Linked DNA regions of Struthio camelus. The protein of the gene in region 1 binds, or shares a complex with, the protein of each later gene. Links are inferred from orthologs where the notes say so. Each region holds a gene or a part of one and is shown in the gene's direction. Other genes may lie near its edges. The genes, in order: NSMCE4A and NSMCE2.

Evidence for each region.
Region 2: NSMCE4A (region 1) and NSMCE2 share a complex: the UniProt entries of both Homo sapiens proteins name them as parts of the SMC5-SMC6 complex. The link is inferred for Struthio camelus from reciprocal best matches to the Homo sapiens genes NSMCE4A and NSMCE2.

What each region holds. Positions count from the first base shown.
Region 1 is NC_090948.1:5,960,990-5,976,857, forward strand, and holds the start of NSMCE4A (non-structural maintenance of chromosomes element 4 homolog A), read left to right. Parts: upstream 1-9,765; 5' UTR 9,766-10,152; coding exon 10,153-10,468; intron 10,469-11,877; coding exon 11,878-11,958; intron 11,959-12,544; coding exon 12,545-12,675; intron 12,676-14,467; coding exon 14,468-14,619; intron 14,620-15,868. UniProt on the Homo sapiens protein: Component of the SMC5-SMC6 complex, a complex involved in DNA double-strand breaks by homologous recombination. The complex may promote sister chromatid homologous recombination by recruiting the SMC1-SMC3 cohesin complex to double-strand breaks.
Region 2 is NC_090943.1:160,973,154-160,988,856, forward strand, and holds the start of NSMCE2 (E3 SUMO-protein ligase NSE2), read left to right. Parts: upstream 1-9,893; 5' UTR 9,894-10,037; intron 10,038-10,205; exon of another isoform or gene 10,206-10,342; intron 10,343-11,038; 5' UTR 11,039-11,214; coding exon 11,215-11,283; intron 11,284-13,150; coding exon 13,151-13,298; intron 13,299-15,703. Other genes in the region: WASHC5 (WASH complex subunit 5), read right to left, coding at 1,223-1,375, 3,161-3,353, 4,270-4,370, 4,685-4,769, 5,829-5,974, 8,192-8,377. UniProt on the Homo sapiens protein: E3 SUMO-protein ligase component of the SMC5-SMC6 complex, a complex involved in DNA double-strand break repair by homologous recombination. Is not be required for the stability of the complex.

The sequences.
Region 1 (15,868 bases):
TGGAGGAGCCTAGTTTTTGCCATCTCTCTCCTGCTTGCTTAGCTTTGTACCAAGTCACACAAAATGACTAGCAAGCAAGTTACAAAGCAAATTAGTTTTCGTGTAAGGGGTACATTGTCTGCAGGCAGACCTATGAACATGAAGTATTGCATTGGAATCGGGGGCGTGCTTTTTTATTTTTCAGTAGGCTGTTTGGCTGGTTATGAACAGATGTCCTTTCTAAGCTGCACCACAAACCAGTGCCCACAATTCAAATGCATCCAGTCACTGACAATTTCCTTTCCCAATAAATAACCAAGCTATAATACAACATAGGTCAGCTACGACCTTTTTTCTGGACTAGGCTGCTTTAAGTGTCTTTCCACAGCTTGCTCTGCGATTGCCAAGATGCTTGACCAAGAATACCAGCTAGATAATTCTGGAGCCCTTACAAAGCGGGTATAGATGTCCCTGGACCAGGGAGCCCAGGCCTGCCATTGTCACAGATCTCTGTTTTAAAGATGGACACATGCATGAATATGGACGTACATGTAAAGACCAGGGTCCTGCAAATTAAGTAAATGAGGCTTAGACCTTCTATCCAATAACCTGTATGAGTTTTCTAGCCACCTGCCAGCCCTTCTACTTTTCTCCTTCCCAAAGGTCTTTAGCGTAACATTTATGGATATATGCATTAGCATCTAGCTAATTCATCTCTGAATCTATAATAACAGATTTTTAGCATGAAGGGAGGGAGAAGATTTTTTTCCTTAACTCCTACGCTTATATCAGGTTTCTAACCCATTCTCTTGAGAAGTATAAAGGGAAAAAGATGTATTCTTAGGTCATTAGCAGCTTGATCCTGAATAGCTGAATCATGGTAAGTCCAAGCTTTAAGCAGTCTATTTTGTTGATAAGATCAGATATTGCAGGAAGTACCAGCTTCACAATGCAGACAGACTGTGCGACAGGAGCACCTCCATCATTGTCATCCTGTGTCTGTCGATATGATCATTAATCTCTGTGTGAAGATAAACCTATCTTGTTAAAGGTATATTACTTGAAAATTAGTTTCCACAACATACTTGACAGTAGCAATATAAACCCTTTTTATTAAAAAATTCCAGAAATAATTTAAGTGGCTTGTGGTCTTTTGTTTTGACAACATATGTCAATATAATTTTGTTAACATTTCAGTATAATAATAATCTAATTCTTATTAATCTCAAACTAGAGAAGTACTATTTTAACCTGGTTAGATCTCCTAATGGAAAAGCCTAGAACTGACTTCAGCTCCTTGAAGATCTGTAAAAGGTTTGGGTTGCCAAAAGTAATGTTGTACCCCGAGATGTGCAGAGTGTTCAGAAGTAGACTTTATTATGCATGAAAGGACAAAACAGGGTAGCCAGTTCTCACTTAAGAATATGGTTAAACATCTGCATAATCTTTCTGATGAATAGCTAGCTAATATTATCTCTGAAATTCTGCATATGAAACACACATTCTTGTCATTACATGGCAACTTAAAGTCAACAAGCAGTCCCTTCTCAAACAAATCCTTAGAACTATTTCTGAAAAAAGAACAACAGTAGGAGAGCGCCATATTTTAAAACTACAGCATTTGCAAATAGCTATTACAGTCGGTAGTGTTGCAATATGTTTTAAAAATACTTATTTTAGGATATGCACATTTTATATTTAGTCCCTTTGTATTAGAAAGATACTGAGAAAAGTAAGCATCATCCTGTACACTACGTTATAGGTTATATGGGTTGTAAAACAAATTATGCAAAAGATCATGAAGCTACAGAACCTCAGAGGAGCAGCTTATTTTTCTGGTAAGCAGAAAAGTTTCTTATACAACACTTACTTTGCCTTTTGGTAATGTCTAAAACATAGTTAGCACACTGTTTTCAGTCTGGACATAATTTTAAGTTTAAAGGACTAATAAAAAACTACTTACCCAATTTTTCCTCTAGACTAAAAATGAAAAAGTACCACTCTGTCTCAGATTTGTGTAACCTTCTGCACTCCTTCACTCCTTGTCGGTGTATGGATCCCCTTTCTGCCTGGATCACATGAAAGTGTTCTATTAATGTGAATTGGCTCATGTTTGAGAACACTATGCTGGACAGCTATGAAGTGTAAGGAATCTGACCCAGGGAGCTGTAGGGCTATGACACATCAGTTCTTTACAGGAATTCTCAGTTGCTGCATGAGAATAACATGAGATAGGTCCTGTAAAGTGGGTACAGTCTGCCGCCGTCGTCGTCAGCGTGCTGTTTGCTTAAGGCAGTGAGACAAGTTCCACGATAAACAAAAGTAACTAAAATCTTCTATTCTGGCTTTTCACTCCAGGACTATAACTACTACGTGTCAAGCTGTCTCTTGCACCTGACTAACTCAGTAAGCTAAATTTGGGGAAACTATTCAGTTGAGCACATGACTAACATCTATAACCGCAGCGTTGCTAAAAGCGATAGCTGCCTTAAGAAAAACATTGCAAGTCAGCCCTGCTCTGCGTATTTCAGGAGGAGTATTTGTGCTGGAGCTCCGCACAGGCAGGCAGGGTCTGGGAACGCTAGCAACTTACCTGGCAAGAGGGAGACGAAGAAAAAGCCGAAGGCTCCTGCCTCCGTTCCCTTTGCCTCTGTTTAGTCGTCTTTTGCTCCTACAGTCAGGAAAGAGAGAAAGCAGCTCGCCTCTTCTCACTGTGGATGAAATGTATCTCTTAGCCCGCTTGTCCGAATGCAGTGGTTGAAGGAAGACAGTCCAACAAGAGGGTTTACTTTGCTTCAGTGAGGACTAGCCTTAACTATTTGATGTACAACTAGAGAAACGGCGACCCTTTTAGGAAAAAAAAGAAAAAAGCCACTTCAGTATAGAGCTGTCTTAACTATAAATCCCCAAAGCAGGTGTCACTGGAACAGGAAACCTACACCAAATCATAGAAATAATCTGTAAGTGGAGCGTGTTTTCAGTGACATGGTAGTTTTGACAAACTCTCCTTTGGAATAGCTTATTTCAGATATGAAAGACATTATTTCTTTTATAACAGGTTCTGAGTTACAGGCCTATGAACAGTATGATGAAAACATATCCAAACCAGCACAAGATGTGAGAAAATGATTGCTGCGGTAGGAAAAAAACTATCACAGAAGCACCTAGGCTTAAATTAACTGTTGTCATGTTGTTGGCAGTTGTGTAAAAGATGATAATTGCAAGAGACTGTTATAAATAAAAATGAAATCCTACAGATTGTCTGGGTATACAAAAATTATTAGCAAGTTAAAGTACAGTGTCCAAGTAAGTGCCACGTTGTTATGCAAAATCCTGTGGTCAGAGCTCTACAAAGCACTAATTCGCTCTTTTTTGCAAAAATCTGTCATTGCTCTGCATTTGCTTTTAATTCCTTTTTTCCTCCATTAGAAATGTATTGGATGGACCACCAAGGCAGCAGTTGTCTGGCTAGTCTCTGCACTCTGGTGCATCAGTGATGTATGGATACGCTTCCTGCTCCTTCCTGCAAAAATGTTTTTGTAGCTTCCTAAAATATATTGCTGTTTGATTACAGGGGAAAAGTTGCAGGTTTTGAGTATGTTGGTCTCTGGCAGCATGACTCCTGCATGTTGATTTAGCAGCTTTGTGTCAGCCTTCCAATCAATGAAACCTTCCAAATCATTTAAAAAAGAACTCCTGGTGCCAGTGAGGGTTTGATTCTGCCAGGGGCTTTTTCCCATTTCGGAGCTCCTGACACGCCACAAGACTAGGCCCCAGTTTTTTTTTCAGAGTTCTATTAATAATTGTTCTTTCGCCTTCCTTGGAAAATGCCTTCTTAGACTGGCACAATATATACTGTGATTTGATGGGCTGTAACCTAATCCACTGTGCTGAAAGTGTATCTAGAGCCAGATTTTTGACTCCCACAGGATTAACTGTAAATATGGAATGAAAAGCTTTTGCAAGAAACAAGTATATAAACTTACACCTCTATATTGCAAAAAAACGATTTTTGAAAGTTAGCCGCACTCGTTAAAATATATCCCCTCATCTGTGTTTGCTTGCAGAGCTGGCAGCTGAATGGCAAATATCTCAAACTTTTTATTTCTGATGTTTTCAATTAGTCTAGGCCCCACTTCAGCTTACTAGGATTATCTTATGTCAGCAAGAGCCACTCTTGGGATGGCTCTTGGTTGCAATTTTCTTAGGTAATGAGTTTCTTGCTTTATCTCCTTGCAGCATTTATTTTGGAGTATACAAGGGAAATGCAAAAAGAGTGTAACTTTAAAACCACATGTGACGTTCTGGGCAGTGACTAAACTGTCTCATTTCAAAATCTGTGTTCCCGTTAAGACTTAGGAACAGCTGCTAGCAGATTGGGGCTCTCTAAACCAGGAGACTGATCCTTCAGAACTGGACAGGTGATTCAATATTTTGCTAAATCTAACGGTGGCAGATCTGCAATTTATTGCTTGACGTGAACCAGCATGCTGGGCGGCTCCCAAGCTGTCTGAGATGCAGAGTCAACACCACAGGTAATTTCCTTGTTAGCACTGCAGAAAATAGAATTATTGCTCTGTGTTTGATGACAATGGAAATTGCCTGTTCTTGCTGAAATAGAGAATCCACTTAAGCTGCTCTGTAGTATAGGTTATAAAAAGTATGCAGCCCTAATGTGTACAGTCAGGTGAGGTCAAAAAAATATAACCCACACATAGTTGCGTTTGTTAAGCCTATTTTTATATCCTGACATCTGGACTTAGTAGGAGGAGAAAGTGCACATATGTTAAGTGCATATATATTAATTTCTTAATAATATCCCCCTATATTTCTGCTTTTTCTGAAGCTGTGTATTATGAGTTAGGTCACAAAAGACAGTGGCGTTATTTTGGAAGCTGAGGTCCAGGACGTAAGAGGTGATATTGCATATGTTTTATAAATTAATTGTAAGATAAATAATGTAATTGTTAAATTGAGCTAGTGGCAAAGGAGGGAGAATCTGCCGGTTGCATGATGCTGCTTCTGGTTTCCAGTTGTTAAACTGTATTTGAAAATCAGCTTACTATATACTCTGCTCATGTTTTCTTAAGAAAATAATTGCCAGTGGGATGCCATATGACTGTGAATGGAAGGGGAACAGTACTGTGAATTCTCATGAATAACGCACAATATGCTCTTGCCATAGCTGTTACTGATCACACAGTGGGTTGTCCCCCACAGCCTCTATCACGTGAGTCACTGTTCTTAGCCCTCGTTCTTCTGCTGTTTTGTGTCCTTCATCGTCTGTATCAGGAACCCACTGCCCACACTACTGCTACAGTGCGGGTCACAAATCATACATCTGATAAGACAGTTTATAGGCAACTGCAAGTGCTGAAAATGGAGCCAAAATAAGGGATCTGGTTTCTGCATGATTTAGGCACCTGCTTCTTCTCACTGTAATCAACAGGACTCAAGAACCTGCCTTTGTAGATCTAATGCAGCAGAAAATATGTGCCTAACTAAACGTTGGAAAATCTATGCTGGCACAATAGGTCTGGGTCACCCTCCAGTCATGAGACAATGCACTAAGGTTTGCCCTGGCTGACGCTTCCACCTCTGATTCTCTGTTCTCTTGCAAGAACGTGCAGGTGCTATACCTTTACAGTTCATGTTTGCCAGATTCAGTTTCTCCAGATGTCCCAAGAGGAGCTGATGCTTGGTTATTCTGTCTGAAACTGCCAGTCCATTCTCTACAATGGGAACATGGAATAGGAATTAGGAGTCCTGAAAATATCCACCTTCTATCTCACAAATACTTGCATAACCAAAGAACCATAGGTTATGTGCTATGATAGACGGTCCACATGGAGAACAGCAGTAGGCTCTTTCTTTCTCCCATTCCTACCACTCCCAAGTAACGTGTACAGCTTCAGTGAAAGAGATTTTTAGGGCAAAACTGAATACTGAATTCAGAATAAACTCCACTGATCCTAAGGGGGGTGGTCTTATTTCACATAATACAGGTTGCTGTAGGAATCTTACAGTAATTGTTGCAATTCTTAGCAGTACACAATATTCTTGTTGAAAGTGAATTTATATGCGGCCCATCACTTGTTTTACCATTAAGCTTTGTAGTGTTTAATTTTTCGCCAATGTGGGTTGCTACTTTAAGAACACTTTTTGCCACTTTATTGTACAGTATGCTTGAGACAAAGAGCAGTCTGTGGCAGATTTTGCTCTTGTGCCCAGTGAGTAAAAGGCACTGCTTGTCTAAGTACCACGAAAGGTCAAATATGACTTAATAAGCATAGACTTCAAGAAAGGAAGCATCATATTCAGAAACTGGATACCACAGGATTTTCTCGGGAGCTAATGAACCTTTCACCTGTAGAGCAATACTTTGCCTGCCACCCAGCTCAGCATTTTGTATTTTGCACTATACGACAAAGGCTTTGGAATAGGGAATATTTCTTACTATGTGTCTGTGTACTGCATTGTACAACAAACCTCAGTCTTCTTTGGATCCTCTCTTGAGACTTTCTGTGTTAAGGTCCAAAAGCGTATTACTCATAAACAATTTGCAACACAAATGCAACAGCACTCTATTAGTCACAGGAAGTACAAGAAACAAAAATTGTACAATAGCCCAAACCATAATTCAGACTTTTTTGTACTGCAAAATGAAGTATTTCAATCATATATTTTTGAAGGACGGTTCATGCATATTTTTGAACTTTGCAGTCTTCAGCAGAGGTACTGATTTGGGGAAGACAAGGTGGAGCCATACCACTGTAGATTGAAATAGAATCTGAGCTACGAAAAAGTCTTAGAATACATGGCAAAAGTTCCCAGTAGAACCCAACACACCTCTGGATTGCCCAACTACGTTATGAATGCATAAGAAAATGCTGAATTGCCTAACACGTGCTATCAAGATAAGAGGATTGTAAGTTGGCACTTTACCAGGATGGAAATCACTGCTTTTATATGTGTTCTTGAAAAAAAAATGGGGATTCATCAATATAAGAATATGTTTTCGTTGTTGCTTTTAATGAGCTGCCCTCTTAATAAAATTACTTTTATTTTCTTTTAAAGTTAAAGAATACTCAATCCCAATGCCTTTTCTGTAATATAAGTTGTATTTCATCCTGTTTCAGGACCATGAAAAATTCCCAAATCTCTTAAAATGCCAATTTTCTTTTTAGCCACAATGTCTTCTTTTTCTACTACTTTTAAGAACATACATCAGTACTGAAAGGAGAGTCAGTCAGAAGATGTAGTCTTACAGTGAGAATCCAGTGTAATATAGTTTGCTTCAGAACCAAATTAAAAAAAGGACTTAAATTTGAATAACAAAAAAGTTGCTTCTTTCTGTCTCTCCAGGTGCTTGACCAGACAACTTCTAGCATACTGAAGCCTTCAAGAAGTCACTGTAAAACAGACCATAAACAAAAGCCACACTAATGGAGAAAAAGGCAGGTTTTAAACAGGATTCTCCCCTGTACATCTTCTACAAGGACAGTTAATAACTTTCAAAACCTAATGACATAATTATGACAGCAGGTGCAGAAACAGATTTGAAAGGTAAAGTTATGTGCACGTGAACTACTATCACAGGTAGTACACACCAGATGTGTAAGCTGCATTTATCTAGGGTGTATGCCAAACACCCTCTGTCCAAACAGGCTGCAGCTGTTCTTCTGCACTCCCTCTCCTAGTTCACGGTTTACTGAGATTGTAAGAGTTTTTAGGCAAGCCTCTCCCTATGCTTGAACAATACCTAGTGCAGTGAAGCAGAGACCATTTGCATTACTGTAACATTACGAACTCTATGATTAAGGGGAGTTACATGCTGCAATTAGGAAAGCAGGGATTAAGCCTTTGGCACATATGGCTGTTCTTAATTTCTTCCAGATTATAGCAACTTGACGTTATCACATATTCATTTAATTCTCTTTGCGCTGTAGATTCATCAGAATCTTGTGCAAACTCTATACCCACAATTCAAAAAGACTGCTAACAACTTTTATCTAACTGGAGCAATTACATAAGCAAGTGTGGTTCAAGGAACTCTGAAGTAGGCTCTTCAGGACATCAGAAGAAATCAGCCAGCACACTCCCTGAACAACTGATACTTTTACAGCAGTTCTACTAGCTGGGGCAAAGTAAGGGCAATTCAGGATGTTATTTGGCCCGCTGCTTCAGGTTAGAAGCCAGATTCACCGCTACACTTGGCTGCTGTCACAGAGCACCCCCCAAAACTTGACTCTAACGATGCTGGGAGAAGAGCAGAGAGAGGAGAAACTCTCTATTAAAAATACTTTTTAGTCTGTATCATAAAAACCTCACCATTAAATGACATTTTTAATATAGTTGAATTTTCCAGACTTGTAATGTTTGACTGTGCGTAATTTAAACATTATGAAGACCCGTAAGTTAACAATATATATTTGCACCACTTAACTCTGCTTTAACGTTGTTGTCTTTTGTTTAAACAATGCCACCACATTAACTAATTTAGGAGTCTGTCGCACTTCCAAGTACACATTTGTTACTTTGTCAGAGCACAATCCCTATGTAGTGATTAATCTGCACATATTATATGGAAACATATGTATTGAATATGCTCAGTCAAGTATATACTTCATCTCTCCAACTTTCACCGCATCTGTTCCTCAGATGTTACAGAGAAGCTTAAAAGTGGTTGAAAGATTTGTTACTGTCATGTTTATCTTTAAAGAAATTTCCAGTCCTTAACAAAGGTGAAAGTTCTAAGTAATTTGTTTTATTTTTAATAGCAGATAAAAACAGACAACCTGGTTAACCCAAGATGTAAAGAGTTACTAATATTTAATGAAGGCAGTTTTATTTACAGAGCCTTTTTTCCTTTTTGGCAACTATAAAACATCTTGCAATGAAAACAGGAGTTGTCATTTTCCATCCTGTGATGTGCTGTGTATCGGTACATGCACTGCCCTCTCCTGGATGAAGCACTGGCTCTTTGTCGTGCCTTTCTGTGACAGTGGAGCCCCGATTGCTGTTACCTCGGTCCTAAGTAAGGTGTTCTCCTGGCTCACAGCAGGCACCTCCGTGACCAGGGGCTCTATCTTCCAAATAAAACGGACCGAGGGCGCAGAAGCTGTAGCGTACGATAAAGGAGGCCTCCCTGGCTAGGCTAGCTCTGCTCGGGTTTTCTCGGAGGTGAGTTTTACGTCAAGTTTATGTGTCAAACTCTAGTTTATAAAGCCTCTGTGGCCGCACAGGTAGATAGTAACCAGGGAGCTTCGGCTTGTACGTTCCCTCCACCCGCTCCGCGTGCGTGACAAAACGTCTCCTGCGCAAGGACTCGGCGTCTTCCTTTAAACAGAGCTGCTGTTTATGGTGGGAAAAACAAAAGTGGAGGCCTCCCTTCTGCGCAGACACCTATGAAGCTCCTGTTGCCGGGAAAGCGGTACTGCCTGCCGTGTGAAAGCCCACGCTGCCAGGCAGGCGTCTGGAAAATGGCTCACGCGTCAGGACGTTTCCGCGGGGCTCGCGTTCCCGCCTGCAGTTTGGGTTGGCGTGAGCAAGGGACAACTGGCAGCTGAGGAATACAGCTAGGAAGGCTGTATTCAGGGACAACTGCAGGCAAACTACCTGGGAGGGTCAACTACAGGTAGGCGCCTAGGGCAGGAAGAGGAGGCGACGCCCCCTGTCAGGCCGCTGTTGTGGCGCGGGGGCGGCACCGGCCCCGGGGCGCCGCCTCACGCGCCCGCCGGCAAATGGCGGCGGCGGCTGCGCGCGCGCGACCGCCCGCCCGCCCGCCCGCCCGCTCGGGACGGCTCAACCGGGGGCGGGCGCCCCGGCGCGTCGCAGCGCGGCAGGCAGTTGCCTGCGGGCTCGGCCTGACTCCCGGCTCCGCTCCGCTCCGCCCTGCGCGGGCGGCAGGATGCCCCGGCCGCGCTCGCCGCTACCCCGGTTACCACGCCGCCGCTAGGCGGATCGCGGCGGCCTCGGCCCGGCCCCGGCCCCGCCCCGCTGCGAGCGGCTCCGCGCTTTGGCCCTCTCGAGCCGCCGTGGGGCCGGGTAACGGTGTCGCGCAGCGCCGTTGGCGCCTTCTGCGGCGGCCGGGGCTGGGCGGGCCGCGTCCCGTCCCGTCCGGTCACCCCCTTCCCCGCGGCGGCCGGTGAGGGCCCGGGGCGCCGCGCAGCCATGTCTGAGGCGGGCGGGAGCGGTGACTTCTCCTCCCCGCGGAGCTCGGGCTCGGACTGCAGCCGCCTCTCGCTGCCGTCCACCTCTCGCAACGGCGCGGTGTCCGAGCACAAGCAGCAGCGGCTCTCGGGCGGCCTCGGCCCCCCGCGCCCGCCGGCCTCCGAGGAGGAGGAGGAGGAGGAGGAGGAAGAGGAGCCGGAGGTGGTGTGCGAGAGGCCCAGGCGGCCGCAGGGCGCCGAGGCCACCGGCGGCGGCGATGAGCGCAGCAGGAGGATGATCCGCAACCAGTACCGGGAGCTCATCTACAGCGTGCAGCGTAAGCCCGGGCCGCGGGGCCCTCGGGGGGCGCCCGCCGCCGCCGCCGCCCTGGGCGGGCACGGCTTGCCGCCGGCGGGCATGTCTCTTCTCCCGGAAAAAAACGAGGCTTGCCAGCGGGGGCAAGGGCCAGCGTTTCGGCGCCGCGCTGGGACCGTGGCTTGATCTTGGGAAGTAGCTTTTCCCGGAGCCTGAAGTTCTTTGCTGAGATTCTGGCCTCGTGTTTAGCTGGGGATTTGTCCGCCTGAAAGCGGGGGGTTGCGGAAGGGTAGAGAGCTTACAGGGGGGTTTACCTGCACGTACCGTGCATTTGAGTGCCTTGATGCAAGGAGGGCACGTTCCTTGAGCTAGAGAAGTGCCGCAAGCTCTTAAGGTTGCGTTCGTTGTGCTTGAGAACGAGCCTTAGCTTGGAACTGCAGGTCCCAGGATCTGCCGATGCCAAAACCTTATCCTTAGGCCTTTTGGAAAGTGCCATGAACTTTTTAACAGTTTTCTAAACAAACATATATGTATTGTTTTACTTCTTCCATCCATATTTAGAGTGTGCTGTTTTTCTCATTGCTGTATTTTTGAGGCATGACAATGCTTGTTTGAGTAAGCACTACTAACTGCAGCAGCTCCTGATGTTGGTTGTCTTCTGCGTGCTCGCTAAACTTACTCGATTTTGTTTGTTTTCGTTTTGTTTCGTTTTTAAGAGATTGCAACACAGTTTGTGGATGATCCAGTTTCCACTTCTGTAATCTAACACTTTCCAAGAAATGCAATAGTGTCATGTCTGTGCGTTGAGTAATGGTGTACATTCTTAAAACACTTAGGTGGGGTGAGTAGCTGTTTGGAATCGGACATCTGAAAGTCTGTAAATCAAACATGCACAGGTGCATATAGTATCTGTTTGACAGGATGATTGTTAAAAATCATCAAGCGTTCTTTTTTTTCCTGATAATCCACAGTAGTTTAAATAGGTGAGACAAATGACATTCAGTAAACTACAGGACCTGATAAGTGCTTTGACACAGGTACAAACAATAATTGGAATTATAAGGAATCTGACATTACAAAGTTTGGAGCTTTTTAGTAAAATGTATTTTGGAGTGATGACGTTGGATGTGCATAATTCATACAACTACAGTAGATGATAAGGTTCCACGTTAATTCCAGCCATGTGAATCTTGTTCCATTGATGTAAATGCAAAGTTGCCACTGAGCAGGTGAGTGAGCATTGATAAGAATCAGGCCTATGCAATCTCACAGTGAAAGTATTGTAAATAGTCTTGTACGTTTTGAGTAGGCTGGGGTGTGAACCAGACAGTTTAGCTTTAAGTTGCAAGTATGTGTTTATTGGTGTCTTTATGTAATTTGGAGTTTCATTTGTAATTTTCCTTTCTCTCTTCTCCCCTCCCCCCAATCCAGAAAATCGTGAGGATATGCTGAATTCAAAAAGCAACAAACTGACAGAAGCTTTGGAAGAAGCCAATAAGCTGTTCAGTGGAGGTAAAAACAAATTCTGTAACCCTTGTTGGAGATGATTGCTTGACAGTTGGCCAAGTATGAAGAGATGATGCCTTAACTTAAAAAAACAAACCAAAAATGGTATGAGATTTAATTTAGATCCAAGTACTTTATCAAAAACATGAAATAACTTGAGATAAATAACTTTAGCTGAAGAGGATTTGCTTGAATAAGGTGTTACCAGAATATAAATATCATTACTTTAGTGTTATTTGTACTTGGAAACGTTTTTTGCTTTATCTTTATAGAGCAATATACATAAATAGTACACAAAGTGGGTTCACTTCTCTTTACTCAGAGGAGAAAAACATGTTAATGAAAAATCCATTTTCTTCTTCCAAATGATGTGTTAGACCTCCCAGCTTGCCTTTGGCTATGTCGTCATCTTCTTTTCTCCTTTTTGTGGAAATAGCAAGTGTTATGCTATTTGTTGTGTTAGAGGTCACTACAGTAACCTCTACAGTTACAAAGCTGTAAACCTAGGGTATTCTGTATGCTAAACTTTACTATTATATTTTTGACAATTAGGTATTATTAACATACACTTTTTTTTCTTCTTCTGTAACAGTTTCCTGTGCGCGAGAGGCTGCACTGGATGCCCAATTTCTTGTCTTAGCATCAAATCTAGGAAAGGAGAAAGCCAATGAGTTGCACTCTGAAATGACAGCGTTTGATTCACCAGCATTTGCAGAAGACCTAGTAAGTTCCAGACTCGGAATTTGCCAAGAACTTTACTAGAGGTTTGCCCTTTTTGTTGTAGATTCATAAAAGTAAATCTGTAGATGGTCAGGCAGAACCTGACTGATAGAACTTAACATACTTCCTATTACTTTCTTTGATTAAGTTTCTAGTTAATATTGTTGTTGTAAACTATGTATTTAGCATTTCCAATTTACAGAGGGGAAAACGTAACTTAAGAATGTAGTCCGCACATATAGAATAACTGTACTTTTGCTGCTCCATCACAGTTTAGTTGGTTCATGCTCTTAACCAAAGCAGAGAGATGTTTGTGCCTTTTTGTTTTTTTGGTGTTTTTTAAGATATACAGTGTTTGGAGTTTCATGGCAGCAAAGTAGTTTCTTTATCTTGTTCACTGCTTTGTGTGTTTTTGGATGGGGTTTTCAAGGTCCTAGGTGACTGATATGAAATGGGACTTTGGATTGCTTGGATACTTTTAGCCATCCTATGCTTGTCTCTTACACTGTGACTGGTTGGAAGAGTCAGTTCAGAATAGCATTGCAACAGACATTTTTCTTTCAAGACACTTTTTGTGTTATGTTATGGTAGATATTTAAAGAGTCTGAGTCAAGATTCTACGATATAAGAAAATCAAGTTTCATTTTTTTATTAAAGTTTTCCTGAGGAGGGGTGGATTGATGGGTGCAGGGTTGGGCCAAAGAAGTTGTTTTATGGTATCTGAAAAGCTAGGCTCCCTGGAAGTGTGTGGTGTTCAGAAATTGTGAGATACTTTCGCTTTATAGTGCAATTTAAGTAATGCTTTCCTATTTCATAGATCACTGAAATTCTGTTGGAGTACAGACAGTTTTACTTGTGTAGCTCTCTTTTTCTTTGCTGCTGATCCTGCGTAGTGATTATTGCAAACATGCAAAAAGCTCTGCGCAAGTGGAAAGCTCTCACATTGGTTCCTTACTGAAGACAGAGTCTGTGACCCAGTGCAGCCAGTGAAAGAGTGCAGCTTGTAATTGTTATTAGGTTAGCATTTGGGCTTAAGCTTATGGTTAGTGTTATTGCAATCACTGGGGTGATGGCAGTTACCAAATCTTGTTCTCGAGTTCACTACAGGAGACTGCATAAGAAGCACTATCCTTTAATTTTCTTCCTCTTTCTGATAATTCAGAGGATGGAGAATCCATCCCTTTACAGTTACTTAGGAGTGATGATATTCTAAATAATTAAGAACAAAAAAAGCTGCCTGTATTCTTTAGTGTTTATGTTATCGTCTATGAAGTAAGAAAGATTTATTGAGGAAAGAAAAACCTTTTTATTGGGCCCAGTGAAATCTTTGGAAAGATAAGACTGACTAATATCTGAAAGCATGTTTAAGATCTCTTGAAATGAGATTTAACCCTAACCTCCATTTTCCTGAAGTCCATGCATTCTCTGACACTGAAGTTTGTGTTCACTGGTGACTTGCTCTTTTGATAACAGCTGCAAGTCGTTCACTTAAAAGAATTACTCATTGCTAAATACTAATATTGAATTCTGTCACCTAATTTAGTTTAGATAAAAATGTATCCTAATAGGAAGTTTAATATCAGATGCAGCGTGGCTGCTGTCTGCAATGCTGTGCAAGTCTATATGTGTGTTTTCCTGTTTTCACTGCAACTTTGGGAAAATTGACGTTCTTTTGTTATGCAATGATATTAAACATTAATCTAGCAGAACAAACAGCATAACAGTATTTCACCATTAATGCATCTACTGATCTTTCTTTTAAGTGAATTTCCTTTTCAATTTCTTTCTCTTGTAGCTAACATTCATGGGTCTAAATCGCATAGAAGTAGAAGAAAAGGATAGTGATAATGAGGGCATTTCTGGTGGCTATTTACCTAGTAATGCCTGGCATAAACTGGGAGCAGAAACAGAGAAGTACTTCAGAAGAGCACCTTCTTTTCACTACATGTAAGTTTATTTGAGGAAAATTGTATATACTGTAGCTAATGGCCTTAATTGATGTTAATTCTAAAAAATAATTTTGTACTGATTTTTAGTGCCCTGGGCTTGAGTAAAGTTTAGTTTCAGTTTGCAGGGTGCCAATGGGGACTTCTGCATGGCATCTGTTGTGACAGGGAACTTCTCGTCTCCTAAGTATCTCCTACTATATTTCTCTTTGAGTCTGACTTGGCTTGGATACAAAATAATACTTTTTTAAATATTTTAGGGATAGCAAGGTATTCGTGAGTTATGTCTTTCAGACCTAAACCAGTAGACTTTAATCACCCTCTTTCTTTCCAAAGCTGACTGATTGCTTTCCCTCCCCGTACAAGCTGCAGCTAAAAGTGTTAGAAGATCATTCATTTCTTTACTAGGGCTTTATTAGACCCTGAAAGACTAAACTCATGTATCTTTTACCTGATGATTGTATTATGAGGCTTTTTTCAAAGGGAGATGAACAGTCTTTTTCATGCATCTGTGTTAATGGGCTGTCTCTTAGTAGCTTCTTTTCAGCTCTATCTTTGGAAGAAATCTCCTGATTACTGGCCAGTGTCCTTGTATAGAATCAGTATCCCCTCTCTTTTTGTGAGGAGGCCTCCTGTTTAAATCTCAGCCTGCAATAGCGCTATCTAGTACCATCAAGTTTTGGTGATAGAGCTGATAAAAACATTTCAAATTCATACTTGCACTTTCAAGGTAAAAGCCCTAAATGATAAATATAATACTGTCCTAAGAAAATTATAAAAACTGCAGAAGGGACTTTTTTTTTTTAATTTCTCCTTCTGTGTAGTTGAATTTTGAGATCTTAAGTACTGTTGGACTTCTTGTGATGGAAGATGTGAATATTAGCAGATATTAGAAGAGTGTTTATTTTAAATTACAGTCCTTGTAGGAAGAGAACTACTTAATTCTGACTCTGTCTATTATTTGAGGTTCAAATTCTTTTTTCTGTGGTCAGTCTGGTGTTTTTTGAAATGGAGCAGTGGCAAATTACCCAATATAGGGTATGCTGCTAAAATTCTGGATACCTGCTGAGCTAACTTGAATTGACGCTCGATTCACACTCTTATTTAGGCATTTGACTTGGCAGCCAAAGTTAGTGCCTAAGTTGCTGATGCAATCATCAGAGAGAGAAAGGCACTTCACAAGGGCTAGCGGATACATTCTCATTATTTAATGAGGAACTCTGGATCTCTTTTGAATGTACTGAATGTTC
Region 2 (15,703 bases), on another chromosome or scaffold:
TCACTGTATCTGACCAGGTATATAGGACTGAACAGAGGGACAGGTTTGGCTTCTAGGTTCTCTGGACAACGGATGGAACACACCCTCAGACAAGTTTTCACTTTCAATAGAGTGTGTTGGGGGGGGGGTGTAAAAGAGTAAGTCTACCATTCAGAGGGACCTTGACAAGCTGGTGACGTCGGCCAGCTGAAGCCACAAGAAGTTCAACAACAATAAATGCACAGACCTGAAGCTGGGGGAGGTGGGGAATCCCTTGTAACAGCACAGTCCGTGGACCGACTGCCTATGTAGCAGCTGTGCAGAAAAGGACCTAACAGTCCCAGTGGACAAGCTGAACGTGAGTCAGAAACGCAGCCTTACAACAAGGAAGGCTAATCACGCACTAGGCTGTGTTAGCAAGACTGCGGCCAGCAGATCGAGGGAAGTGATTATTCCCATCTAGTCAGCCCTCATGAGGTCCTTTTAAGAGTACTGTGTCCAAATTTGGGTTCCTCAGTACAAGATGCGGACAAACTGGAATGAAGCAAACAGAAGGCCACCAAGACAGTTAGGAGACATACTGCATTAAGAGAGTCTGACAGAGCTGCCTTTGTTTAGGCAAAGAAGACTAAAGGGATCTAACTGCAGTCTTCCACTACCTAAAGGGCAGTTAGGGAAAAGCAGAGCCAAACTCTTCTCAGAGGTGCACAGCAAAAGGACAAGGGACAACGATCACAAGCTGCAACGAGTGAAATTCTGGCTGGATAGAAGGTTAAAAAAAAAATCATCACGAGAGTGATTAAGCACAGGCACAAGTGCCCAAAGAAGCTGTAGAATCTCCATTTTGGGTATTTTCAAAACTCACATATTTTCAAAGCTTGACTGGACAAGGCCCTAAGCAACCTGACTGAACTTTAAAATTGGCCCTGCTTTGAACAGAAGGCTGAACACATCCACACATAGCTTCCAACCTACGTTTTCCTATGGTTCACTTCATCAGGATGGTATCAGAATACAGTTGATTTAAGCATTTAAAAGGAAAATCGATATTTGCAAAGGGTAGTTCTCCATGCTGATCCAGGAGCTTTGACTCAGTTTACTTCACTCCGAACAAAGTGTAATTTCCCCAGAAGACAATCTATTCTACCTTTAGAACACTACAGCAAGCTTTGTCGAAAACAAGATAAATTGTTTCTATAGCATTAAATCCAGGGTGCAGTTTAAAAATAGAATTAACACTTACCCAATTATCTGGAAAGTATTTATCCACTATCTCTCTCATTTTTGCTTGCTGAGTGTGAAGAATGGAAGGGTCAAAATACAGTATCACATAGAGCATAGCAGCCTGAGTAGCCAGGGCAGTGCTGCGGTGTTCTGGTAATGGATATGCAGAAACCTAGGAAAAAGGAACAAAACAAGACATAAAATAATGCAACAATCCATTGCAAATATTATGGGGCACATTAAAAAGTACAATACATGGATACTAGAAGGCTATCTTATTTGTCACATATAAGTGTGTCCAGCTTACCTATGCAACACATTTACCACATTTATCTACAGAATATAAAACTTGACTGTAGCCATCTGCTAAATTTAATAGGCTAATATGATTATGCGGTAAATGAGTCAAAGGAAGGTTGAATCAAAGAGCTTCAGATAGACTGAAAGGACTGCTCCTGCTGAAAGGACAAATAGATATTTCTGAAGGACTGGGTATATTGTAGCTCATCTCAAACAGAAATGAGGACTAACTAACATAATCCAAGTAAAAGGCAAATAGGATACAGATCATTTAGTTAATCACAAATCACAGGCACCAGCAAGGTCAATAAGATTAAAATTATTAGGGGAAATTTCATTTTTAAAAACGTACATCGGATAACATAGTCAGGGACCTTCATATAACACAAAAGTTGGCATCAAAATCATATTCAACGAGACATAATGATCTGTCAGTAGGAAAGCTGTTCTCCACTTTTGTTTAGTAACACTCTGTTTTCCTGTAAATTTTTCTGGTTACTTTATTAAGTGAATTGTTCAGACTAATAATAATAAAAAAAAAAAAAAAAGATAGGAGGCTGCTGCCTACTGTCATCAAGAATAAGCTGCAAGTATCAAAGGAAATAACACCTTACAGACATAAGATACTTCAGTAAAATAAGCTGCATTTAATCTGTGTTTAGCTGAAGATTTCTACTTCGATCTAACTTTTTCTGCTACAATTGGGAAAAGTATATTAACTATAATTGTGCTTCGTATAGAAGCTTTGATTGACGTTTTTAATTATCAATTGTAAGCAGTACAAAACAGAGATCACAGGTTGTACTATCTTAATCTGAAGGCACACAAGCTTATTTTAATAAAGAAAACAGGTAATTTTGACTAAAAGTGTTGAAAGACTTGAGTAAGATTTGTAGATTAAGAAGTACTTTAAAAGAGCACTCTAACACTTCGCTATTCCTTATCAGTACCATACATTATGTCATAAAATTAGCTTCTTCACAACTTGCCAAAAAAGTTTTCATTTTTTGTTTGCAGAACTTTTTGCACAGCTTAAAAAATTATTACCATAAACATGGTACAGTGTCTACAGAAGCACTTTTCCTCGTATAAGTTAACATGTCTGTCTATAGTTTGAAAGTGTTTTCGATAGGGTCCTTTTAAATTAATGCTCTTGCATTTGTTTATTTCTTACGTGATTCACTGATCTTGAGATGCTGTTTTTTTAGCGTCTGTAAATGTTTTCAGCTATCCAGGCTTCACTAGAGGTGTGCCATTAATTATAGAAATAAGATCGTTTGGGCCACCCTAAAGAAAGAACCCTGCTCAAAAGTAAATGCTTTGTTGAAGCTCATTTCCAAAGAGGTCATATAGAAGAGACTATAGAGTTCAAAGAGTAATCTCTGAACATACTTTCTTTCAATTTTTATTCTTTATTCATCCAATTGTCATAGATAAGAATAGTAATATTAGTGCTTCTTTTTAGTCACATTGCCTCTTAAGGGATGATCAATCTCTTTTCAGTAACTAGAACAATGAGAATCTTTGAAGGAATTGATGAGAGTTAATAAAAGTCGCCAATCATTTATTTTTTTCTAGGCTTCACAGTTGAGTAATTTACCCAAGAAACCATTTGATACTCAATTTTAGATTCCTCTTCTGTCTCACGCTAACTTACCTGGTTATAAATGTCATCTGATCGTAAGCGGCCAATAACCATGCTGATGAACGTTTCACTTATGGGTACCCTGCTGAAGTAACTCTCAGGGTAGTTTGGAGGCCTTTTAGCTCCAGGCTGGCTCGAGTACCCAGTGCTTCGAAGCAGTTTACAAATATCATCTAAATTGGAATCAGCAGAGGATCGGGCTGCGCTGTTTTCAAAAAGGAAAAAAAAATTAAGCTGTACGACCTGACTATTTCCTCCTCTCCTTTTCCTCCTAACCCTGCCTTTGTCTCCAAGAAAGTAATCAGATAGTAAGGTTTGGGAGACTTTTGTATGCTTACTTCCTGAACATAATTTTCACCATATTACAGAAGGACACTGACAAGTGCCCATACTGGAATCCCGGATAAGCGTACAAAACACAAACAAACAAATCCAAGAAAACGTTGTTCAGGGACAGAAACGACTACAGTTGCATTCAGAAGAGGTTCATTTGTCCATGCCCCACCTTTTCTGAATTCCCCTTCTTGCTCCATTCCTGTATTTCAGAGTTAAGGAATCCTTTGTCATTACACACTTGACAGCCATAAGCACAGCCAAAACACGTACAGGGTGCTCCCTTTTTTAGTTGCATTATTTGTGAAAGAGTTTGCACCGATATTCTCGGCGATTCTAGCTGTGATAAAGCAGTGCTGACAGCCTGCCCTGGAAATCTCGTTATCAGTTTGACTAATCAAGCTCTCTGACTACAAGAGGTTTGACTGTCTAGATGCTCGGGACTTTTCAGAGATTTGCTCCAACATTTGGGAATATCTGATGCTTTCAAAGCAGATACTTGTAGCTTCATGCGAAAGTTTATTTGTCAGTGGCTTTCAAATCTCTGTTGTGACAGCATGAGAAATCTGTGGCCCAAGTTTTGCAGCCAGATGTGCAAAAGCAGCTAATGCAAGGAGCTCTACTGACATTCAGACAATGATGCAGATTTATAAGGGTCTATCCGTATGGACCAAACGGTCAAAACGGTACCAATATTTCTGTTTATCTTAATTCAATGAGTTAACTGAACATACTGCATGTTACACTCTTTCAGCTTTTGAGTTCTTCTGAATACCAATCCACATTACCTGTATCTGTAGTAGGAAACCAACATTCTTTCTCTGACCTCTCCTTCAATCTTCTGGTCAATGACCAATAGCATGACTCCATATAAATAGAGTGCTTCACACTGTTAAGGAAAAAAACAATCAGAAAGAAATCAAATTAATGCAGTTTTGTAGCAACATCTGAAGACAAACAAGTGGTGACAAACTAACACAATGCAAACTATGTATATAGTCAATATAGTATGAAAAAATGGCAGGGCTGTAGACTTTGGGGCTTTGACTGCCTCAGATTGAGCCATAGCATTTCAATGTATGTGGTAAGTTTAAACCTTTGTCCATTCTTGAGACTAGATGTAAACAAAATAGACGCCAAAATATATCTGGAATTAAACTCGTTGGTTCATTTTCTACTATTACAAAACTCTTGAGTACTTACCAGAAGCTGTTTTCCATCTTCATTGAGGAGGACAGTTTCTAATGTTTGCTGAATGTAAATTCCTTCATTGAGGTCATCTAAATACCTAGGAATCATACCAAAAAATTGGTCATTGACTATTTTGCTCTTAAAGCATGCGTCCCCAGAAATCAACTGGCCAATTTTCACGCAAAGTCAGCAGACACGTCAATCACTCGTCCAGCGCAAGCAGCACACACAGGTTTTACACACAACAAAGAACAGATACTCTAATATGAAATGAGAGGCTGGAACTCGTAGCTAGGGTCAACCAGCTGGCAAATCCTCCTTCAATTTGCTAATGCTGTATGGGAAAGATACCGAAGGAACTCTGTAACTTAACAGCTAACAAATCAATCTCTTAACCTTCGCATGGCAGGACACAGCCTGAGAACAAAGTAGTCCTGGAAAGGAAAAGCTTTTTTTTCCTCCTTAAAATTTAGTAAAACTATCATATTCTCAGATTATCTCCAACAACAGCTACGGGAAATACCTTAAATTTATCTTAATTGCAGTTTGAAAGGCAGAGCTATAAATAAAATATTTCATCTTGATTAACAGATGATTTCTTCTTATTACAGGGTTTTCTAGTAAACTGCTTATTACCACAATGAGCTCAAGCTTTTTACCTAAAATCAACAACAAAAGCAATTCTTAGACTTCACACTCTCTTGCACCTCTTCCTTAAGGTTTTTTCATAAACCTTTCCTACCGTTTTGACAAGAGTAACAAACTTGAGACTATGGTAACTCCACTGAAAAATTAAATTTAGGAAAACAATACCAATGAAAGTTAAAGAAAAAATACTATCTGATTCTGTTCAATAATACGGAGTTTCTTTTCATTCATAAATCTTCAGGACAATCTCTCAGATAAAGAAGAATTAGCTCTAGCTTACGTTTATGGAAATAAAGTAGAGATGTTAAATGTTTTCAGGTCGTAGATTAAGCTGGTATGCAACAACAAGAGTAAAAGTTAGTGCCCAGTCCAGCAAGCCAGGTTTCCCAGTGCATACGAACACGATTCAAGGGCAAGCACTGAGTCTCCAAGGAAAAAGTTTCCAATCATTAAGATTAAACAGTACTGTAGTCTTTAAGAAACTCTAAATATCATTAAAAAACTATACCTGTTTAAATCTACAATGTATTTATGAACACTCTGAAAAGCTAGATAAAATCTTGTCAAAATTTCAATGTTGTTTTCACGAAATTCTTCATCTAAATCCAGTAACTCAGGCTTGGCTTCCAGCTTGCCTTCACACGCCTCAGGCCCCTAAGAAAGAAAATTCATATTTAAGAGACAATATTTGATTGTGTCTGTGACAGTCTTCAGTAGGACAAAGAATATACATGACCACTAGCATGTATGTAATGACAGAATTAACTGTTATTACTAAAATAAGGCACCTGCAGTTTTCCAAGCTACTTCATGATTAAACGGTGATCCCATAATGATGAATTCTACATTTTGCTACAATCTATGATTATCAATACGATAACACTTTGGGTAAAATTCTGACGCATCTGAAACCACCATGTGCTTTACCACGGACTCTTTTTAATGGCAGCTATCTCCTTTCTGGAACTTTTTCCTTTACACATTTGATCTGTTTGATTTCTCAAACAGAATCCAGAACATGAAGGCCTCACAGATAAGTTGTCAGCTTTGTACCTTCTCATACATTTAAACTCCTTGCAAGTATTAAACCTACGTGAGAGTTTTGACAAATTCTAGACCTAGGTCTGTGCTAGTCCCCAAAACTGGCACAGAAACCGTGTAATTAACAACTGTGTGGGAACAAGGGGAGAGGAAGACGAGCCTGACTTTCTGAAAGAAATGGTTCAAACTGTTTTAACCATTTGCTGCTGTCAACTCACCACCTTTCAGTCCTATCACTAACAGTTAACTGAAACTGTTATTAAACATCATTCCACAGAACACTTACATGGCATGAGATCACGACTTAAAAGGATTTTGTGAACAGGAACTCCATAAAAATCACTTAAAATAGGCTTAAAAATTAAATGTCAAGTCTAACACCTGGCTGACAACTTCTTAGTGGTTTTAAAAATGCTCTTCTATTTCTTTTTTTCTATGAAATGGCCACGTGAAACAAAGCATAAAAGCAGGCCCCAAACTGACTATGAAGCTTAAATGCACAAAGTAAATGGACTGATTTTCAAAATCTCAAATCTCATCACCTGATTTTAAGCATCATGATTGCAGGAATGGAGTGCTCATGGTGTTAATATCTGTAAATTCATGAAAGCCTGGTTTACAAGCATGTCTTTTATTGATTTTGTTGCAATTAGGCTGAAAAGCAACAGCAGTATCTTGCTTCTTAAACATTCAGGAATCTTCCAGAATAAATGTATTTCTGGCCAGTTACAACTTGACAATGTAAGAGCAAAGAGGTATTTGTATAAAAAAGGCTTGTAAAAAAATCTACATCTAAAGGTAATTGGGAGATCACCTGTGCTCAGGATTTTCCGAGCCCAAAGTACTCAGAATTTGCAATGCAAAAAAGATCCACAAAAAAACTCCAGCCCCCTTAAATGTTGCTGAAACAGTAACGTCTCTTTTATTGTACAATCTAAATGGAGAAAGTCAAATTACATCATCTGTAGAGTTCCTTGCAAATCATGCTAGAGAATGACAGAGGGGAAAAAAGTACTGCAAGAATCTTAGTTCTGTAAGAAAAATGAGACCTTTTCACGGACGCTACTCTTTAATTTATCTGTTGATTCAGTGCTCATGGACAAGCACCATGAATGAACAATCACAGTACTGTCAAACAGGAAAGCATAAAGCCGTTTGTATGGCTGCAAAGAAAAGGCTACAGATAACCAAAGGAAGACAGGCATACTGTGCCACAGAAAAACAACCAAGTGCTTAGGCTCAGAGCTTGCTGGTGAAAATGCAATTTTAAGTTTACTCAGGAAACAGTAATTAAAACCCCCCCAAATCCAATACTCAAATGTCATATAATCAGTCTTCTTTGAAACTCAAGGCCAGATGACTCATCAAACATTTTCAAAGCTGTATCAGGGACTGCTTTTGTATGTATGTATTTAAAGCTGTCCCATTTCCTGCCCTAAAGCTCAGTGCAGGTAGTGGTTGTACTTCTATTCTGCTTAGGGAGCTAAGCACACAATCTTCACTAGTCTGCTTCTGCTCAGTGAAATAAATAAGGTCAGGCTGAGTACCATCAGAAGCGTATAAACACAAGACAGCCCAGAAGAGGAGTGCTAGTATGCGAGCACATCCCATTTAGTATCTTAGTTTGGTGCATTTTTGGTAAATACTGAGTAAACAGGAAATTATCTTAGTCAATTCCGATGAACGTTAGCAACTAACATAACAGTAACTGTTTCCACACTTGTGAGGACATTAACACCCTTAGGCTTTCGCCCTTAGTGAAACACCCTTAGGCTCACCCGGACAACGATACTTTGAAGAGAAGTTTCACAATAAAAGAAAAGGATTTACCTTAAAATAACTGAAATCGAATATGATATCCCCATACTTCTGTTGATCAGCCTTGTCCTTGAGCCTGAAAACACCAGGAATAAATTCAGAAAGTCTCAGAAGTTCTGCAATGATGGCATTTCCACAGGAGACAATCCTAAGAATGGCCTGACCACAAAGATTATTTTCAGCTAAAAAATCAACCATTGTGGAGCTGAATGTGACCGCGTAGCAACAGTCCTGCAGTCTGCTCCCGAATGTTAGTCTTCAGGTTATTTGAAGAAGAACGTCTAATGAGAAAAGTTGCTGTTCCATTAATAGTACCTGTAAAAACAAAAACATACACATTTTGAGTGTTTCATAGTTATACTTCTGATAATTTATTCTATAGGGTTTTTTAAGCACACGATTAAATCTTACGCTTTATGAAATCTAAACGCTCCATGTTTTGTCCAAATGAAAACAACAGACTGAATTTACCTTCAACATATATGCAGTTTTGGCTCAGTCACCTGTGTGATCAGGCAAGAAATAATAGTGTGATCTTTTGTACTAGAAAATTTTAAGGTAACTATTAAAGAATGAAACAATCACAAAAACTGAAGCAATTGAGGCCATGCAGCAGACGGCAGCAAGGAAAGCACAAACTAGTACGGTACAAGACGCATGTTGGAACAAGGGAGAATCCAATAGCAAATGGAAAGAACATAGCTCCACTGCTTTATTTATTGCTTAAGGGAGAGCTTTTGTACTGTGGTTGCATTTCCTGGCCACATTTTTATTTATGGGCATTTTTTGCTGAAAGATCTGGAATGCAGCATGGCTAAAAATAAGCTGCTTTTTAATTCTGAAACATTTATGGGAGGTTATGAGCTGACTTCACTTTTTTTTTTTTTATCAAAAACCTTCTAAACCACTGAGTTACATTTAAGTTGACGAGGCATTTTCCGATCCCAGTCTGTCTCAAAATGCACACCAGGAGCCTCGTCTTCCTGCTACGCATGGAGGAAAGCATCGCTAGCACAACAAGCTCTGCTCTGCAAAGTCCCGCGCAGCTCCCAGACCCAAGTGAACAGGACCGGGCTTTAATTTACATCTCATCCCCCTCCAGTAACCTGATTCATCAGGCCACAGCGTGATTTCTTGACCGAATGGGACGTTAAAAATATGGGAGAGCCTGCAGACAGCTCCTGAAGTTGCACAAAAGCCATTTCCAGCGCGGGCGAGCCTCACCGAGGAGGACAGGCCGCCGTTTTAACTCCCTTTTCGACAGGCTCCTCCGAGACGCCAACGGCCCCCCTCAATGTCTGAACCTCCCCCCCCCCCCCACCCCCGCCCTGGAGCAACGGCCGCGCCGCGAGACCAACGGCCGCCCGCGCCCTAGGAACGGCCGCGCCGCGAGACCAGCGGCCGCCCGGCCCCGCTCAGCCCCGCCGCGGGCTAAGCTCTCGCCTCCCCGCTCCGGCGCCAGCCGCGACCTCCCCGGGATGCCGCCCCCGCTCGGCGGCGCTTACCGTCCCCGCGGCTAACGCGGTGAGCGGCGGCGAAGGGCGGACGGAGGAGGCTGCTCCGCTCCGCCGGCAACGGGCGAGCGGGCGGGGACGGCGGGCGAGGCGCAGCCCTCGGCGGAGCGGCCGCGGCAGGTGAGACGCAGGCAGCGGCGAGGAGGCGGCGGCGGCGGCGGCGGCGCCCAACCCTCCCATCACATGACAGCGCGCCGTCATGTGCCGAGGCGCCGGCTGATGAGGCGGTTCCGCCGGCGGCCTGTCCCGCCTGCCCGCGGCCGAGCGCGGCTGCCGCCGTAGAGGGTCGGCGCGGGGGCCGCCTCTGAGAGGAGCCCCTTGAGGGCCGCGGCGGCTGGGACTAGGTGAGCGGCTGCGGCTGCGGAGGGGCCCGCTTCGGCCGCCCCCCCCTTCCTCCTCCTCCTCCGGCAGGGCGCGGAGTGCGAGGGAGGGCCTGCGCGGCCCTGTTCTCCGGGCAGCCTCCTGCCCGGCGGGGTGGGCCCGGGGGCCGCTGCCCCGGCCCGTGCGCGGCTGGCACGGGGCGGCTCGGCGGGTGTTGGGGCTGCGAGGCGGGCGGCTGGCAGAGCGGGGCTCCCTGCCCCCAGGGCTCTTGTCCCCAGCTCTGCGGCGGCGAAGTAGCGTCTCCGTGGCACAGTGACCGTTGTAGGAGGTAGAGATCGATACTATTAATGAGCCCTGATCAGCTGTAGATCTTGCGTTTTGTCTCCTTTTCAAAGTTTGGAAGAATAGAGCAAAGGGAAGTTAGGTCGTTTGCTCGAATCTTAAAAATTGGTGGCAAAATTGAAACTTTAACCTTTTAGGGCTTCTGCTTTGCGGTCTTCTATTTTATTGTTGAAAGAAAAAACTGACCAGCCAGTCTCACTTGGCTCTCCTTTATGAATCTTGGTTTTGCTCATTGTATTTCCCAGAAGATGAAGGGTGGGGGTTGCAAGCTTAAGTGCTTCATTGATGCACCCAGTGAAGACCTTCATGGCAAAAGAGAGTGCCTTAAAGAAACTGCTCAAAACCCTGTTCCACTGAGGAAGTTGCCCTTTCCTCTAAAGGCAGCATGAACAGCTTCCAGCTGTAAGTTACACTTGAAGAATTAACTTTAAAAAAATTGAAAAGGAAGTCTGTGCTTGGGGTCATCAACTATTTCTATCAAGTTTAAGCTTTTGTTTAAAAAAAAAGAGTCTGTCTATGGGTACTTAAATTATCTGCCAAAACACAAATTGTGATGAAGCTACCAATGTGATGGTATGATTTAGTGTTGTACGTAACTTCAGTTCCTGTATACTCGGTGTTCCCCCATGTTTCAGAAGAAGGAAGAAGCCTTTTTAACTTTTCATTGTTATTTTTTTTTCAGATTCCTGTCTTTCACAGTGTGTGTGTTTGAAATTTCCAAAAGAACAGCAGACTTGCTCAATGAATGAGATTTACCAAGTTCAAGAAGTGAATTAGGTTCTCTCTGTTAATTTTGATACACTGAATGGGCCCAGAAGGATAAAAGCGCTAATATGCATTTACGTGACTTAACAGTGTATGAAGTTTGCATTACCGAGGTTCAGTATAAACACTCTTGGTGAAATGGCAAACAGCTGCTTTAAAAAAGTAGGTTAAAAAATTTAGTGTAACAGCCTAAAGCATTTGTTATTAAATTAAGCTTTAAGAGCATCCCTTTCCATTACTTTCAAGAAGTTCTCTAAGAAACTTTTTCCTTGTCTTCTGTTATCAGATCACCAGTCTCTTAAATGGTATTTTAGATAGCAATTGCTGTATTTTGGTGGGGAGATTAGGAGAAGAGATGAGCTGGAGCTATTGAAGATTGCAGCCTCCTTTATGACAAGATGCACCTTTAGCAGCGGGGAGAGAGAGAGAGAGAGAGAGAGAGGAAAGCTGCTCATATACATTTTAGAAGTTCAAGTTGTCATGAACTTGAACAGCTGTGTTGCTAAAAGGCTGTTGTAAGCTCGTGTCCTCAGAACAGTGTCATAAAAGATAGTCTTGAGTGGCCAAGCACATTTTTTAAAGAGAAAGAAGAAAAAAATAGGGAAAAAAAAACTGTAAGAGAGGAAAGAAGGTGGCAGGAGAAATTCCAGTCTCGTAATCTGCCTGACATTCATGTGGAAGATTGCAGTGCTGTGCAGATTAGGATGAGTGTAAGACATAGTTCTGGAATCCCAGGTAAAGTAGTAAATGTGAGACAGAGCCTCGGATATAAAGTTTTGTGCTTTCTATTTAGATACTATCCTGATTTCTGTTGGATTATAGCCTGTGAAAGGGAGTAATCCATAGAATGACTCATCTCCTTGTTACTCTGCATACTAGATGCATCTAACTTGGGATGTACCCCAATTTTGGTTTTGGATTTCATTTCTCCCCTCCCCAGTATAGTCTCAATATAGTCCCTGATAATACCAGTTATTGTTTACAAGGCCTAATGCAGTATTTCTATCTATTTAAGACTTTTGTTTTTTATAATCAATTGTTTGCCTAAAGCTGACCAGAATTTTTCTAACTTCCTGCAACTTGAAGTATAAAATTCAGCATTCAACATGTGTCTTTTACTAGCTACATGTTGTCTAGGCAAATTATAGCAGAGAACAAAAAAGGAAGAGCAGAAGATGGAACTTCTGAGAAGAGACCACCGACTGATGTGGAAAGTATGATTGATTCAAGTTATAGGGACAGTGTAAGCAATGCTACTTGAAGGTCATGTTAATGACAGAGGAAAAGGAGTTAGTCCTAGCAAGGATGTTGGTCTGTAGTGGAAAGGAAGTAAAGGTGGTAAAGAGCACAGACATGAGTCTTGTGTGATTTAGTGTTCTGTTCCAATAGAATATTGGTAATATAAACTAAATTTGTGACATCTTTGATGGAAATTCTTAACATTTGTAAGGTAGGCTTTTACTTAAGAAATAGTATTAGGTAACTTTCTGCTAAATACATTCTTAGAACAGTTACCATTTATTTGATTTTTTTTTTCTTCTTTTTCTGAGGGCTGGCTGTTTGTTGAAACAGGCTTGTAATTGGGTGAGGCTCAATTTGATGGAAGAAGTCATATTCTTACTAGCCTAATTGCAAATATATCTAGAAAACAGACAAGTTTTTGGGTACTCTTTCTTTGGAGCTGAAATAGAGCAGAAACTTTCAAGCTAACATAATCCTTGAGTATTTCGGTCTCACTGTGCTATAGCAATAGGAATGAGAAGATGAAAAACTGCAAGCTGCTGTTTGTGGTGTAGTTTTGATTAGTGTTGAATAGGAGGGGGGGTTGAAATCCTCTAGTGAATCACATTTCTACTCGTGCCACTGACTGAACTTTCTCTGACATTTTGGGAGCTGAGATTTCATCCCTGTTCTCTGATGTTTGAGGAGCCCTGTTACAGCTCTGTGTTTAGCTATCTGTACTTCTGTTTTCTCTTCCAAATGCGCTGTGTGTAAACTGCATTCAGAATGTTATATCTGTTATTTCTAGACTAATGGTTTCAAGATGCCAGGGGGTGCAACAATCTCATTCAACTGTGTGGATTCTTCTCTTTCATCTTTGAAAAACTGCCAGTCTTACATTAACACTGGAATGGATATTGCTACTCGTGTTGCCCTTGACCTTGTGGAAAGTCTCAGTAAGTAATTCCTTTGAGTATATTATCTTGCTTATATTGCTTCCTGAACTTTACAGATGGGTCCTAGGCCTACGTATTTTGACTTAGTTACAGTCAATATCTACTTCATCATAGAAACAGCAGCTCTTCTGGATAGTTCAGAGTGTTACCATTCCAATCACTTCACTGTCTTAAGTGATAAATTCAGTGAAAGTATAAACACCAAGTAACATTGTCCCGGCTTTTGTAACACTTTTAAAAGACTAATTGCATTCCAGTGTTTGTTATCTTACAGCCTTGTAGAAACTTTAACAGTGCTGAAACGGATGGACAAAGCCTTTTAAGCGGGTGAATAAAATGACTTTTCGTTCTAACACTGCTACTTTGTGTGTGTTTTATTTAATGTTTAGGGCAAGATACGTTAAAATAATACTATTGATTTTGAGTACAAAAATTGAGACATGTGCAAGAGATGTAATTTTTCTGAATAGTGTCTCTTTTCCTGCTGAAAATTAGGCTGATTTAGGGTGCTTCAGTTTGGACACTTGCAAACAGAAGTACTCTAAATCTGTAATCACTTCTGACAGTCTTGTCATTGCTGTTTTACAGCAACAGGTGCATTGCAGAATTGCTTTTCAAAGACAAGTATTTGGCCTCCTATTGCTACAACTCTTGGATCTACTGTAAAGTTTTCTCTAGGAAAAAATTAAACCTTCCAAGCTCCAAAGCCCTAAATGATAGTTTTAATTATGAGTGGAGACTGAGAGTCCTCTAAAACAACATAATTGCTGTCTTGCTCTCAACTAAGCCAAACTCTATATAAAATCAGAATGAAATTTTCTGTTTGTATACTCTCTCTCTCCGACCTTTTTATCCATATTACTGTCAGAGGTAATTGATGCCCCTTTTCAAAAGTGGTAGAGGAGACGGAAAGCTTATCTAAACAGTCAGCTGGGAATTTCCTTTGCAGTAAAACTGGTATAACCAGTTCTGTTTCCTCTCTGCATTTGAAGTTACCATCTGTCCTACTTTGCCGTAAGTGATACATGGAAATTTGCTGACTGTACTGAATTCCGGTAATCCCAAGACCTCAGAATGAGCCACAGAAGGTAGTTATTGGCAACAAAAGCTAAAAGCTGTGATTAATTTCACCTTTCAGCAGAAGTCAAATCAAGTCCCTGTTGCCATTCACATTTTGAAAGGCGGAAGGCAACTCAAACTCCTCTATGAAGGTTTGCGGCTGAAGGTGTGTGCCATATGCTTCTAGATAATTTTGTTATCTTCCTCACTTACCAACTTCTGGCATATTCATTTTAATTATAACCTCCAAATTATTTTGACTTTTCAGTAACCAAATGGGCCATATTTAGTGTCCTATCAAGAGAGGAGATCACTCTTGAAATTTCTATGGTCAGTGCTAATGGCTAAGTTATTTCATAGAACTGATTTTATTTTGGCATGAGAATCTTCCTTGTGGAATCATGACTGTAAACTATGAAGCACCACATCTTTTACATAGTGTTCCCTTGATCTACAGAAAAGGTATTCCAGGCTATTATTTGTTGCGTAAAGACGTTACAGTTCCTCTCAATTTGGTCTGGTATTACCTTGTTGACGCTTTATTTAAAGTAGTTCTCTTTCACACCACCTCTGTTTTTTTCCTTGCTGATGTAAATACATGTGTACATATAACAATTCTATCACTTTTGGGGGTTTCTTTTGTTTGTTTTTTGTTTTTCTAGCCAAATGAGCAAAGCTCCCTTACCTTTCATTTTAAGGTTTGGTTTTTCACTCCACTGACCGCTTAAATGTCATCTTCATATGTTCAACTTAGAATTCAAGTTGTTTTGTTCCATATAAATGCCATCGGGAAAGATACAGGGTTTCTGTGGCAAGATCTATTTTTGCTAAACACTATATTTTTGTTTTTTATAGTGTTTTAGAATCAGGATTGTTGAATCTGCCTGACTTGACTGTTTAATTCTTACCTCCAACTCATATGTGGCAGTTTCTGTATCTGTAGAATTATTACCCATCTATTCTACTTTGCCTTCCTGTTCCAATGCAAAGTATTCATTCAATTTTGAGCCAGCCTTAGGTTATATGCTGCTGCGTTCTTGTTGCTGTCCCATTTGCAGTTTTTTCTTCTTTCTTTCAAAAGATCATCTGGCTGCTGACAGGTTTTGTTGCCAGGCTTTGTAGTAGCAAAGAATTATATTGTGATTATAAAGTAATAACTTTCTTCACCAAGCACTCTTTCTGGGAAGGTATTTGTTTCCTTTGGACTTTCTTAGGTCTGGGGTTCATATATTTGACAACTCTGCTTTTTGGGAATAATACTGAGATAAAATTTTCTCAGGAAGTACGTGAAAGAAGTTGCATTTACATCTGGAGGTAAATAGCTGGAAGGGCAGATAAAGTTAGCA